3 linked regions of the Schizosaccharomyces pombe genome follow. Changing the gene in region 1 together with any one later gene gives a genetic interaction. Each region holds a gene or a part of one and is shown in the gene's direction. Other genes may lie near its edges.

Region 1 (3,759 bases):
AGGCACTCCAAAAATCGCTCCTTCTCTCCGTTCCCTTTTTTAATTTACGTTGACATAATTAAGTCAATAATGTTTGCAAGACATCCGAATTTATTATGGTTGAACAAACAACTGTCTATTTTACATTATCTTTGCCTAGTTTTTTTAGCTGTCTACTATGCCTATCCTCTACTATTTGGCATAATGCCAAGAAAGCTGCAACTCGAAGATGAAAATTCTTTTGTTATTATGGGGGTTGCTGATCCTCAGATTGAAGGGAATCATAAAATCGAAGCAAATGGATTTTTTAAAGGCACTTTAGATCTTTGGGGGAATGATTTGTTTTTACGACACCTTGTACATATGAATCAGTTTTGGGGTCAACCAGATGCGATGATTCTGTTGGGTGACTTGGTCAGTTTTCAGCACTTGGATAACGAAGAATTCAACAAAAGAGCTAAAAGACTGAAAAAAATCACTGGGGCAAAAAACTTTTGGCAAGTAGGAAACTCCAGTTTACCAGCACGTACTTTTGAAAACGGTAACATTCCCGTTTGGACGATTGCGGGTAATCATGACATTGGCTATGGCTGCGAAAGTTCAGACGCACAAATTAGCAAATGGGAACAAGCTATGGGCCCGGTAAATTGGGTTTCGCACTTCAATGTTTCTAAATTTCCTGTCCGTGTGATCGGCATAAATAGCCTTTCGCTTGATGATGTTCAGTTTTACGATGCGAACCCTAGCGATATTATTAACAGTAAAAGTTTTTCATCATTAGGTATACTTGCTCTTTCAAAAGAAGCTAGGGATGCTTGGCAATTTCTTTTCGACATTGCTTTAGAGCCGTCTATTCCAACCATACTGTTCACCCATGTGCCACTCTACAAACCAGCTAATGTGTGTGTTGACGAACCGAGAATCGTTCGTCAATTGGATTTTCGGGTCAAGTCTCAAAATCATTTATCGTATAATACTACTATGAAAATTTTTGAATTGATTCCTAGCATCAAATTGGTCCTTTCTGGCCATGATCATATGGGTTGTGACTACGAACACCCGAACGGTGCCATCGAACATACATTACCCAGCGCAATGGGGTACTTTGGAGGAAATATTGGTTTTGTCAAACTGATCGCGACAAATGATGTTCTTACAGAGTCCTCCAAGAACACACCCTCGGTTGTTACATTTCTGATTCAAAAACTCATTGGCCAACGATGGAAGAAGGCTTCATTGAAACAGTCAAAATTCAGTTCCGACATATATGCCACTTATACCTTGAGTCACGGAGGACCATCTTATATTTGGTGGGCTCTTCACATATCGGTATGCGTACTTACCATCTTACGTTTATTGGTAATATCATTGCAACATATCTAACATTGTTGTGCACTAATTGTTCAAATGAACAGTTTTATATTTACACCAGCCTCTTAAACAGGCAATATATCCAGCCTTTAGGTGAATTTGAGAGAAACCAACCTTTTTTACCAGCCATTCTGCTGGTTTTTAACCAAGAACCTGCAGATTCATTGAATTAACGTGGTGCCTTAATTACATTTAACGTCATTTTTGTACTTTCTTGCAGTAGTGCTGGATGTTTATTTACACAAAGTCGACCAATGTTACCATAGTAACGCGACCCAAGAATGCGTTATCTAATTTAGGTGCAAATATAAATGTCTCTCTGGAATCCACAATTTTTCGATTGTTTTTGTTTACATCGATACAGTTTCCAGCATTGCCCCACTTTTGAGCATTAATACACTTAGGTCATATCAGAAACCCAAGTGCTATATTAAGTCGCCTTTCTCGCTTACTTTCTTTCCTTAACCATCTACTTTTAGTTGGGTATTCGTCTTGCTGAAGGCCTGTGCACTGCCAATTGCCGAACTAGGGATTTATTTGAGAAATGAGAAGATTAACCATCAGCGGGCTATTAATTAGCTTAGCCAAGCTTTGTGCTGGCATGGAAATTAATGTTCCTTCTTCTTCAGACGTTTGGACTAGTGGACATATTGAACCCTTGGAATGGAGTGTGGTCAGCACTGATCCCCTGCAGGCTAATGTCTGGTTAATAAACGAAGTTGAGTATCCACCAACAAGCCGTTACATAATGACCATCAATACTTTTGATGAAAATGCCACATTTCCTGCTTTAGATCTTTCGCCAGGTTATGGCTACCAAATTAGTTTTACGTCTATTCGCGACGACTCTGTTATTTACGCCCAATCTGGTACTTTTTATATTGTTGGCGGCGAAGGTATCTCTTCTACTACTGGTAGTACTTTTCAAAGCATGACTACCTTCACTAGTTCACAAACCAACAGTGGTCATGCTTCTGCTAGCACTTCTATTCCAAGCACTGCTATAACTGTGACAGCGAATTCTACCATTTATTCATCTGCTACTTCTAGTTTTCCATACTCTACAGACGTTAGTGTCTCGACAGGCACATCGACCGACATTGTAACCTTACCTCCGCCAGCGTCGAGCACTTCTTCGTTTAGCACCATTACAAACACGTCTATGATTCCCAGCTCTTCATCGTTTACTACTACTACAGGCTCTCCTTATTATAACACATCTAGTTTCTTACCTTCCAGTGTTATATCGTCTGCCAGCCTGTCTTCATCATCTGTTTTGCCAACGTCTATTATTACATCGACTTCCACACCCGTTACAGTCTCTTCTTCTAGTCTCAGTAGCTTCACTCCTTCCTATAGTACTAACCTTACTACTACTGGAAGTACCACTACCACTGGTTCGGCAACTGTTTCCTCATCACCATTCTATTCCAACAGTAGTGTCATCCCTACCAGTGTACCATCAAGTGTTTCTTCTTTCACCTCCAGCAGCAGCTCATACACTACTACGCTGACTGCTTCAAACACTTCTGTCACATACACTGGTACTGGTACTGGTTCGGCAACGTTTACCAGCTCCCCACCATTCTATTCTAACAGTAGTGTCATCCCTACCAGTGTACCATCAAGCGTTTCTTCTTTCACGTCTAGCAATAGCTCATACACTACTACGCTGACTGCTTCAAACACTTCTATCACATACACTGGTACTGGTACTGGTTCAGCAACGTTTACCAGCTCCCCACCATTCTATTCTAACAGTAGTGTTATCCCTACCAGTGTACCATCAAGTGTTTCTTCTTTCACGTCTAGCAATAGCTCATACACTACTACTCTGACTGCTTCAAACACCACCGTTACATTTACTGGTACTGGTACTGGTTCGGCAACGTTTACCAGCTCCCCACCATTCTATTCTAACAGTAGTGTTATCCCTACCAGTGCACCATCAAGTGTTTCTTCTTTCACGTCTAGCAATAGCTCATACACTACTACTCTGACTGCTTCAAACACCACCGTTACATTTACTGGTACTGGCACTGGCTCAGCAACCGCTACTAGTTCTTCACCCTATTATTCTAACAGCAGTATTATTGTTCCTACTACCGTAAGTACCAGTGGATCTGTTTCCTCCTTCTCTAGTTCTCCTTCTCCTACATCCTCATTTTCTGGTACTTCGGCTCTTAGTAGCTCATCTAATGAAGAAACAACTACCACCACCCAGGTTACTTACACTACGTCTCCCGAAGAGACTACTACTACTATGACTACTACCACATGTAGTTCCCGTCCCGAGGAGACTATCTCTACTGTTTCCACCACTTCTACTGTCTCTGAGAGTGGAAGCTCATCGGCGAGTATCACTTCGACCTATCCTAGTAGCACTCTTTCTATGACTACTTCTCATTT
Region 2 (3,759 bases), 3.0 Mb from region 1:
CTTTTCTTCCTGATTTTGTTTTGACACCTTCCAAATTAAATTGCTCTTCCCTACCATCTTCAGTAGAAAAGAGGGCGTCAGCGGTGTTGTCACGTTCAATAGCCAAACTGGCAGGCCATGATCTTTTCCGAGCAATGTTCATAGCAATTGACATAGGAGGTAATGGCGATGAACTTGCAGGAACATTTGGGGGTAACGCAGATTTTGTTTGGGAATCAGCACTTCTATGATGCGCATAATTAGATGAAGATGCGTCTTCAGTGAAAGGTGCCTGTTCGCTTTTTGCATCGGTTTCCTGATTTTTACTAGATTCTATTTCTTTAGCAACATCATCATTTTTGTACGAACCGAAAGCACCTGACTCCTTGTTTGGCTCGTGAAAGTGTTGGAACTGATTTTCCAAATGCATGTTTGAATTCACGTTAGGATTTTGTATATCCTGAAAGGCTTGATCTATTAGCACAGAGCCTCCATTTTGATTAGATTCCTCCCCCTCAAACATCGTTGGATGCAAATCATTGGGAAATCGACGACTACCGTCGAATTGAAAAGGATATGATGCCGCTTCAAAAGAACCGCCATCGTCGTCATAGTACGATGAATTCGGCATTAGGTTTTAAATCATTCATATGCTCATGTAAAAAACAAATGAAAAAATGAAGCAAATGGCAAAAAATGCGAATGTGTAAGTTCAACACGCGTGTTTGGAATTTAGGTGAGATTTAACGCAACTTATAAATCGTTTGCTGCTGTTACTCCAATTATGTTTTGCTAGCGAAATGAGATTGATCATCACTATATCTCGCTTATTCACTTCTCACTACAACTCACTGTCTAGTCATATATAAATACTGCACGTATCCATGAAGAGCTGAAATCTCACATTTATTAGAGCTTTTTTATTTTTAATTTTGTTAAATTTAATTATTCATGCATTAACTAGTCATAGCTATAAATATGAATGAAAATTTGGTCTTTCCTTTGTTTATATTTCCTAGATGGCCTAACAGCTATAATTGATTGAACTTGTATGCTATTAAAGGCGATAAACAGACTTCTTTAGTACTTTGCTAAAGAAAATATAATTGCAATGATCCAATTACACTGGAAATACAGGTATAAAAAATCGTCACAGTTTGGAAACAAACAATGCTTTTTTTTCTGTGGCTGTTGTGTAGCTTTGCTAGTATCATAAACTCATTGTACACTAGCGCAAGACACACTATACAGTAGTTAGCGCGAGGTATTTTATTATTCTTTCCAACTTATTTGTAATGAAGTTCAAATAAACAATGGGTAATTTAGTACTACTAAAGTCCTTGCGTTATTTAAAAGGTTTTTGTTTGAAGTTAGTGGTATATATTTTGGAATCCTAAAGTTATTGTATCGCCTTTCACTGTCAATGTGGAATACTGCAAAGGCCGATACTCCTTCTTTCAAACTTAATTGTTTCACTTTCTTTTCTTTCCATTTCAACGCAATATTTTACAATTTTTTTTAATTTAAAAGAGAATTCTGATCATTGTCTAAACTAAACTCCTGGCAAAACTATCATTTGCGTTGCTTGTTTAGATCTGCATAGTGCCTGAACCACTTGACTTAACGAATGTACTACTACCATCGTTAAGTTACAATAAAAACATTATTTCCTTTTTCCCACCATTTTGCCTCTAATTATTGTTAAAAATTATTTATTTCATGAATTAATATTAAAATAACGTCCATTATGGAAAAGGAAAAGCTTACAAATAGGACCAGTACTCACAAATTCAATGAAACTGACAGAGAAACAAATCACTCTAGAAGGCATCGTCACCACCACTCTAGGCATCGTGAGAGCAAGCATGGACGACATGATCGCAGTGAAAGGCCAAGCTCTAGAGAAGCAGGTGACCGAAGTAGGCATGAAAGATTTAGTAAAGAGCCATTGGAGGTAAAGAAACTTCCTGTTGAAAATGAATACTTTGACTCCAAATTCGCTTCTGCTTCTTCCATGCCATCCTCCAAAGACAATCCACAGAATAATGACTTTACTAATTCATTGCAAGGTTTGGATTTTGGTACGTTCGGTTCGCGTATACAAAGAGAACCTATTGACCGAAAGTCCAATAAGCCTGGTGAAATTTTTGTTGGTGCAACATTACAGAATGAGAGTTCGACGAGTACAGAACATAAAGATATAGAACAGCTTGAAACCGAAATTAATGAGTCAGGAATTAATTACAAAATTGGTGATAATGGCTCTCGATGGCGTATGATGAAGCTCAAACGCGTATTTGACATGGCTCAAGACCAACGACGCCCCGTTGAAGAAGTAGCTCTGGAACGTTATGGTTCATTGAAAGAATTTGATTTTGCCTTGGAAGAAAGAGATGAGTTAGAGCTTCGAAAACGAACTCGAAAAGTTCAGAAAGAAGTTCCTACTGGCGAATTATATGAAAAACGATGTGCTGATGAATTTAAGACTAGAAAAGATTCTGGTAATGGCGCTACATACTACAAAGTAATACCTGACCCTTCTGTAAATAAAGATACTCCCACTGAAAGCGATTTGAATAGATTAAAAGCTGATTTGTTACGTGCTCAACTTAAAAAGGATCCTAACTATGAGTCTTTAGAAAGGGAATATCAGAAAGCTTGTGATGACTTCGAAAACTCTTTACACCCTTCGGAAAATTCTAATTCGCAAGCAACCATACCATCAAAAAAAAGAAACTTCGACGATCCTACTATTGATGAGATGGTACAGGAAGAAAAATTGTTGAATAAACAACGGAAATACGGCCAGAATTATGAATACGCAAAGCAGATTGCAAAGGATAAAACTTATTCTAACAATCTGGATTATTTGGACGAAAATGCAGGGAAACTTTCTAATCGAATGAAGCGCGGAGACGTCAGTCTAGCTCAAATTAGTAGTGGTGGGGATCTTAAAAAAATTAATCATGTTTTGGACACTTGTCCTCTTTGCCTAAATTATGAAACACAACCTTTGGCACCAGTAATATCTTTAAGTCATCGTGCTTATGTTTCTTTACCAACTCAACCCGAATTAGCTAAATATCATTGTTTAATTGTTCCTACAGGACATCGGATAAATACCCTCAGCTGTGATGAGGATGAATGGGATGAAATCAGAGTATGTTAATATAGTAAAAGGAAATAACTAACAAACCTTTTTAGAATTTTATGAAATGCATCGCCCTAATGTTTGATTCCATGAATCTTGGTGTTATTTTTTATGAAAACGCGCCTTCACCACAAAGATATATGCACACAGCTATTGAGTGTATTCCAGTCTCTAAAAGGATCCTCTCACTTGCACCTGCTTACTTCCGTGAAGCTTTGTCTACTTCTGACGAGGAGTGGTCTCAACATCGAAAAATTATTGATACATTAGAAGGTTCGAAGAAGTATGGAAAATGGGCTTTTCGAAAAATGATGGTTAAGGGTATGTTTGGAAAATCGTAATCATTTATTTTACTAATGATTAGAATTGGGTTATTTTCATGTTTGGTTCAGTATTGATGGTGGCTACGGGCATGTCGTGGAAGACGAGAAGGCATGGGGGAGGCACGATCAAGTTCCTAGGCAGGTATTTGCCAGTATGCTAAACCTTCCTCCTGAAGTAATCAGAAGGAAAGGTTCTTGGACAGGTAAAAAAGATCCACGCGAAGATATGTTTCGCAGTCGTTTTGAAAAATTCGATTGGACCAAGGGATTAATTGATTAGTAATTACGAAAATCCTTTAATTCAAA
Region 3 (3,759 bases), on another chromosome or scaffold:
AGTTTATCCTTTCTTCCATATAAACGTAAATGGTCAATTAACTTTCCGTCAATGGTGTTATTAATACCGGCTATTAATTCCTACAATTTAATTTCGTTAGCTATGCAATAAAAAAATATTGCATACATTTTTAAAATAACCCAACGACATAACGGCATCATCCGAATGCTTAAGTTCGATTTCTCCATGTTCTATAAATTTTGTATGACCTTCACCAACTTCAGGTTCATAGTCTTCATATGATAATAACTTCTAAATTCGACAAACTAATTAGCGCCTATAGTCCAATTGTAAAACATAATCTTTTTAGCTAACAATCCGGATACTAAAAAGTTTATAATGCTGTAAAATAGATAGATAATGAAGTAATCCTTCACTTACAGTCACGAATTGACATACCAATTTGTTTTTAACACCAGATTTTGTAGTTCCTCCTCCACCACCAACCGCCATTTGATGGTTATTAATCCAACAAAGAGAATAAGCTGGAAAAGAAAGGTGGAGTTCAGCCATTTTGATCTAATAATTAGAAAACACTTTAAGCTGGATACGAGGAATAGGAATGTATTGAAAAAATAAATCGATATCGGCGACGAATCAAAAAAAAATTCTACTTATTAGTGAGCAAATCAATAAAGTACACTTACAAGAATTCCACTAAAAAAAAACAATGTCTATTTGAATACGGTGGTGTGGGTATGTTTCGAAATCGCTGTGAACCTACTTCGAGACTTAAGCAAATACTGTAAGAATATTAGATCCCCGTATCAGAATCTATCGAATAATATCGACATCACTATCCTCTTTTACGTATTTAGGCGATGTTTAATATATACATAAGTTTTTATCCATTTTTTTATGACAGTAGAGAAAAGATTTAATTAGAGATAACCTAAATCCTTATTGACTTAAAAAAGGATGATACTTACTTGTGGATATTTATTTGCGAAGAATCTTTGAACAAACAGAAACTTATAATAGATTCTTTCTAAATCTCGGAGCATATTCTGGCTCATTTTATATTTATATTTTCCTTTTCAGCTTTTTAGAACTCAATTCCGACCTCAGTTTGGTTGCAACTTTGCTACAGACACTATTTAATATCTCGGTCTCCTGTACATTTTACCAGGTTTACGTTGTATTGTTTATATAGTTTATATAGCAATATTTACTACATGTTCATCATATTACGAAAATAGATTAAGAGAACTGGGGAAAGAGTGAGGAGATGAGAAATTTTCGGATTTATTTATAATTTCCAATTATTATTTTTAAGACGAAATTGCCGCGAGACTACATTGTCCATGAAATTAATGTTTGTGTTTATTCTACTAAAGGGTATGAATGCTCGATCTCGTGCCAAGGTGCCTACAATCTTAATACGCCGCTGCCTGTGTATGATTATAATATTACTTCTGTTTTTTGCACAGAAAGCGTGTTTCATTTCAAAGATTGACTTCCAATTAAATTTAATTAATAATATGTTGTTTCATTTCCTTATTTAACTACCAATTCTTGTTCATTTGCAATTCACTCAAATATGTAACTGAACGTTGTCAGGTAATTTTTTGGCTTTAAATGATATGCCTCAATGGAATATAAAAAAGCATAATCCTATATAACTATTGTTTTTTTCAGCTTCGTTTCAGTGAAATGTTATGCTGATACAAATTGATTGAAACATGAATGCAAGACTTTTTTCAACTCAACAATATTTTATTTATTAGTAAATTTTAGTTTATGTAATAAACTCTTCATTAAATTAATATAACTTTATAGTGCTGCTTTCTTTTTGCACATCGCACATTAATTGCAAAAACTCTCTTCTCCACATCCAGGGTATCTGATGTCCTCGACAAAGTCTCAGCGAACGAGCGATTTGGGTTTTTCATAGCAGAGAAGTATCCAAATTTCAAAAATATTATTATTTTACTGGCTTTATAGAGAAGTATTTAAATTTTTGCATAACCCTCAATTGATAGAGTGCTGTAAATTCTACTTACATTATTCACATGTCTGCCGATAAATTTCGTGATTCCACGCATTACAGAGATTGGATTTTTACGGAAGAAGACCTTTCAAAAACACGTGCTAAAGTAAATGAAAAATTTACGAATATTGTACGTGAGCGAATGCTGGAAGAGTTGTCTTTACAAAACAAGGAAGCATCCTTAGAAGTTTTGCCTCCAACTCTTACCGTTGAAGAAGAACTTGAACTTGTAAATTATTATAGTTTCCAGTTGAACGCACTTTCTTCCGCTCTTTCCTTACCAACTCATATTCGCGTATGTTTAGACATGGTCGGATTTCCTTCAATTACTTGGAAACTGTACTCAATATAAACATTCCGACTTTACTCACAAAATTTTAGTCCACGGCCATTCTTTTTTTTAAACGCTTTTATCTAATTAACTCTGTCATGGAGTATAGTCCAAAAATTATTTCGTATGTTTAAGTCGCCGAGTCCATTAAGCTAACATTGTTTTTCTTACATTAGGTTTACTTCTTTATTTTTAGCTACCAAGTGCAACGATCATTATATCTCTATTGAACAATTCTGTAAAAACATGCCCAAGACGACTCCCGAAGAAGTTCTTGAATACGAATTTAACGTTTGTCAATCATTAAAATGGGACCTTTACGTCTGGCTTCCATTTCGTCCTTTACAAGGCTTCCTTTTAGATTGTCAAACAGTGCTTCCGAAAGTTGCTGTCGAAAAGTTTTACGAATGTCATGACCTTTCCAAAAAATTCCTAATTGAGACATTGCATTCTGACATCTATTTCTTACATTCACCCAGCATAATTGCTTTGGGTGCTATTTATCATACGAATCCAACTATTTGTTTACAATATATAGAAGCAAAAAAAATTCCAGAACTGCAACCTTTGATAATTTCGATTTCTGCCAATTTGAAAGCTACAAAAAAATTTAAGATTGAGAAAAAAAAGGCACAAGATTACGGCAGAAAGCTATATTTCTGCATGAATCCTCTGCGAAACAAGTCTAGTGCTTTGTACCTTAAACGAAAAGCGGAAGAAGAATCAACTAATAACAACAAATGGGCTAAAAAGTTCTCAACCAGCAGTAATGTGTTGGATAAAAATCCGTTTGAATGATTCTTTCTTTGAAAAGTGCTAAATTTACTTCAATAGTCATTATTCGTCAATTTTTTTTACGACAAAATAGTTTACGTTTATAAAAAATTCCCAGTAAAATTCACTATCAAGTGTGTCTCATTAATTATTTTTAATGTCTATTTGTAAAATTAAAAACATTTTCATTTCTCTCACAGCCAAGGAGCCCATAAGACGTCCATCTGTGCCAAAACTTTGGAACTAGAGGCTTGCGCCAAATAATCAATAGCTGTTTGATTGACTGGTAAGTTACCATAAGCAACCTGACTTAATGATGCAACCCTTCGCATTATAAGATCAGTATTGCTATTGACTTTGTTGAGCATACTGAAATCTGCCGGCACGCCTTTAGTTTGCTGTGCAAGCCACCAAAAAAGATCATCTCTAATAAAGATACCCAAGTACATATCCAAATCGAAATCCGGTTTGGAGAGCGCGCGAGCTATAGCCATTATTGAAGGGCCCAGTAAACCTTCAGTACAAGTTTTTCCAATAAATTCTTTAATGTTGGGGGTAAAGCGAAAAGGAACAATTTCTCCATTATGGTAAACTGGAGTAGAAGAAACCATAGATGGCAGCGCTTCTGTTGTCCAAACACCGCCAGAGTCTCTAGAAAAAACAA

Evidence for each region.
Region 2: mutations in adg2 (region 1) and cwf19 together harm fitness more than expected from each alone (negative genetic interaction), as found in Schizosaccharomyces pombe (one large-scale study listed by BioGRID).
Region 3: mutations in adg2 (region 1) and mcs2 together harm fitness more than expected from each alone (negative genetic interaction), as found in Schizosaccharomyces pombe (one large-scale study listed by BioGRID).

The regions. Positions count from the first base shown.
Region 1 is NC_003424.3:4,079,086-4,082,844, reverse strand, and holds the start of adg2 (protein adg2), read left to right. Parts: upstream 1-1,688; 5' UTR 1,689-1,894; coding exon 1,895-3,759. Other genes in the region: ted1 (phosphoprotein phosphatase), read left to right, coding at 70-1,362.
Region 2 is NC_003424.3:1,101,715-1,105,473, reverse strand, and holds the start of cwf19 (protein Cwf19), read left to right. Parts: upstream 1-1,666; 5' UTR 1,667-1,726; coding exon 1,727-3,139; exon of another isoform or gene 3,140-3,183; coding exon 3,184-3,451; exon of another isoform or gene 3,452-3,494; coding exon 3,495-3,733; 3' UTR 3,734-3,759. Other genes in the region: Lsd1/2 complex PHD finger domain-containing protein Phf2, read right to left, coding at 1-610. UniProt on the Schizosaccharomyces pombe protein: Involved in mRNA splicing where it associates with cdc5 and the other cwf proteins as part of the spliceosome. Involved in mRNA splicing.
Region 3 is NC_003423.3:1,891,144-1,894,902, forward strand, and holds mcs2 (transcription factor TFIIH complex cyclin Mcs2), read left to right. Parts: upstream 1-1,836; 5' UTR 1,837-2,012; coding exon 2,013-2,285; exon of another isoform or gene 2,286-2,371; coding exon 2,372-2,445; exon of another isoform or gene 2,446-2,497; coding exon 2,498-3,119; 3' UTR 3,120-3,265; downstream 3,266-3,759. Other genes in the region: GDP/GTP exchange factor Spo14, read right to left, coding at 1-80, 127-252, 400-513; SAGA complex, phosphatidylinositol pseudokinase subunit Tra1, read right to left, coding at 3,290-3,759. UniProt on the Schizosaccharomyces pombe protein: Essential for progression through the cell cycle. Possesses kinase activity that can be detected when myelin basic protein (MBP) is provided as an exogenous substrate.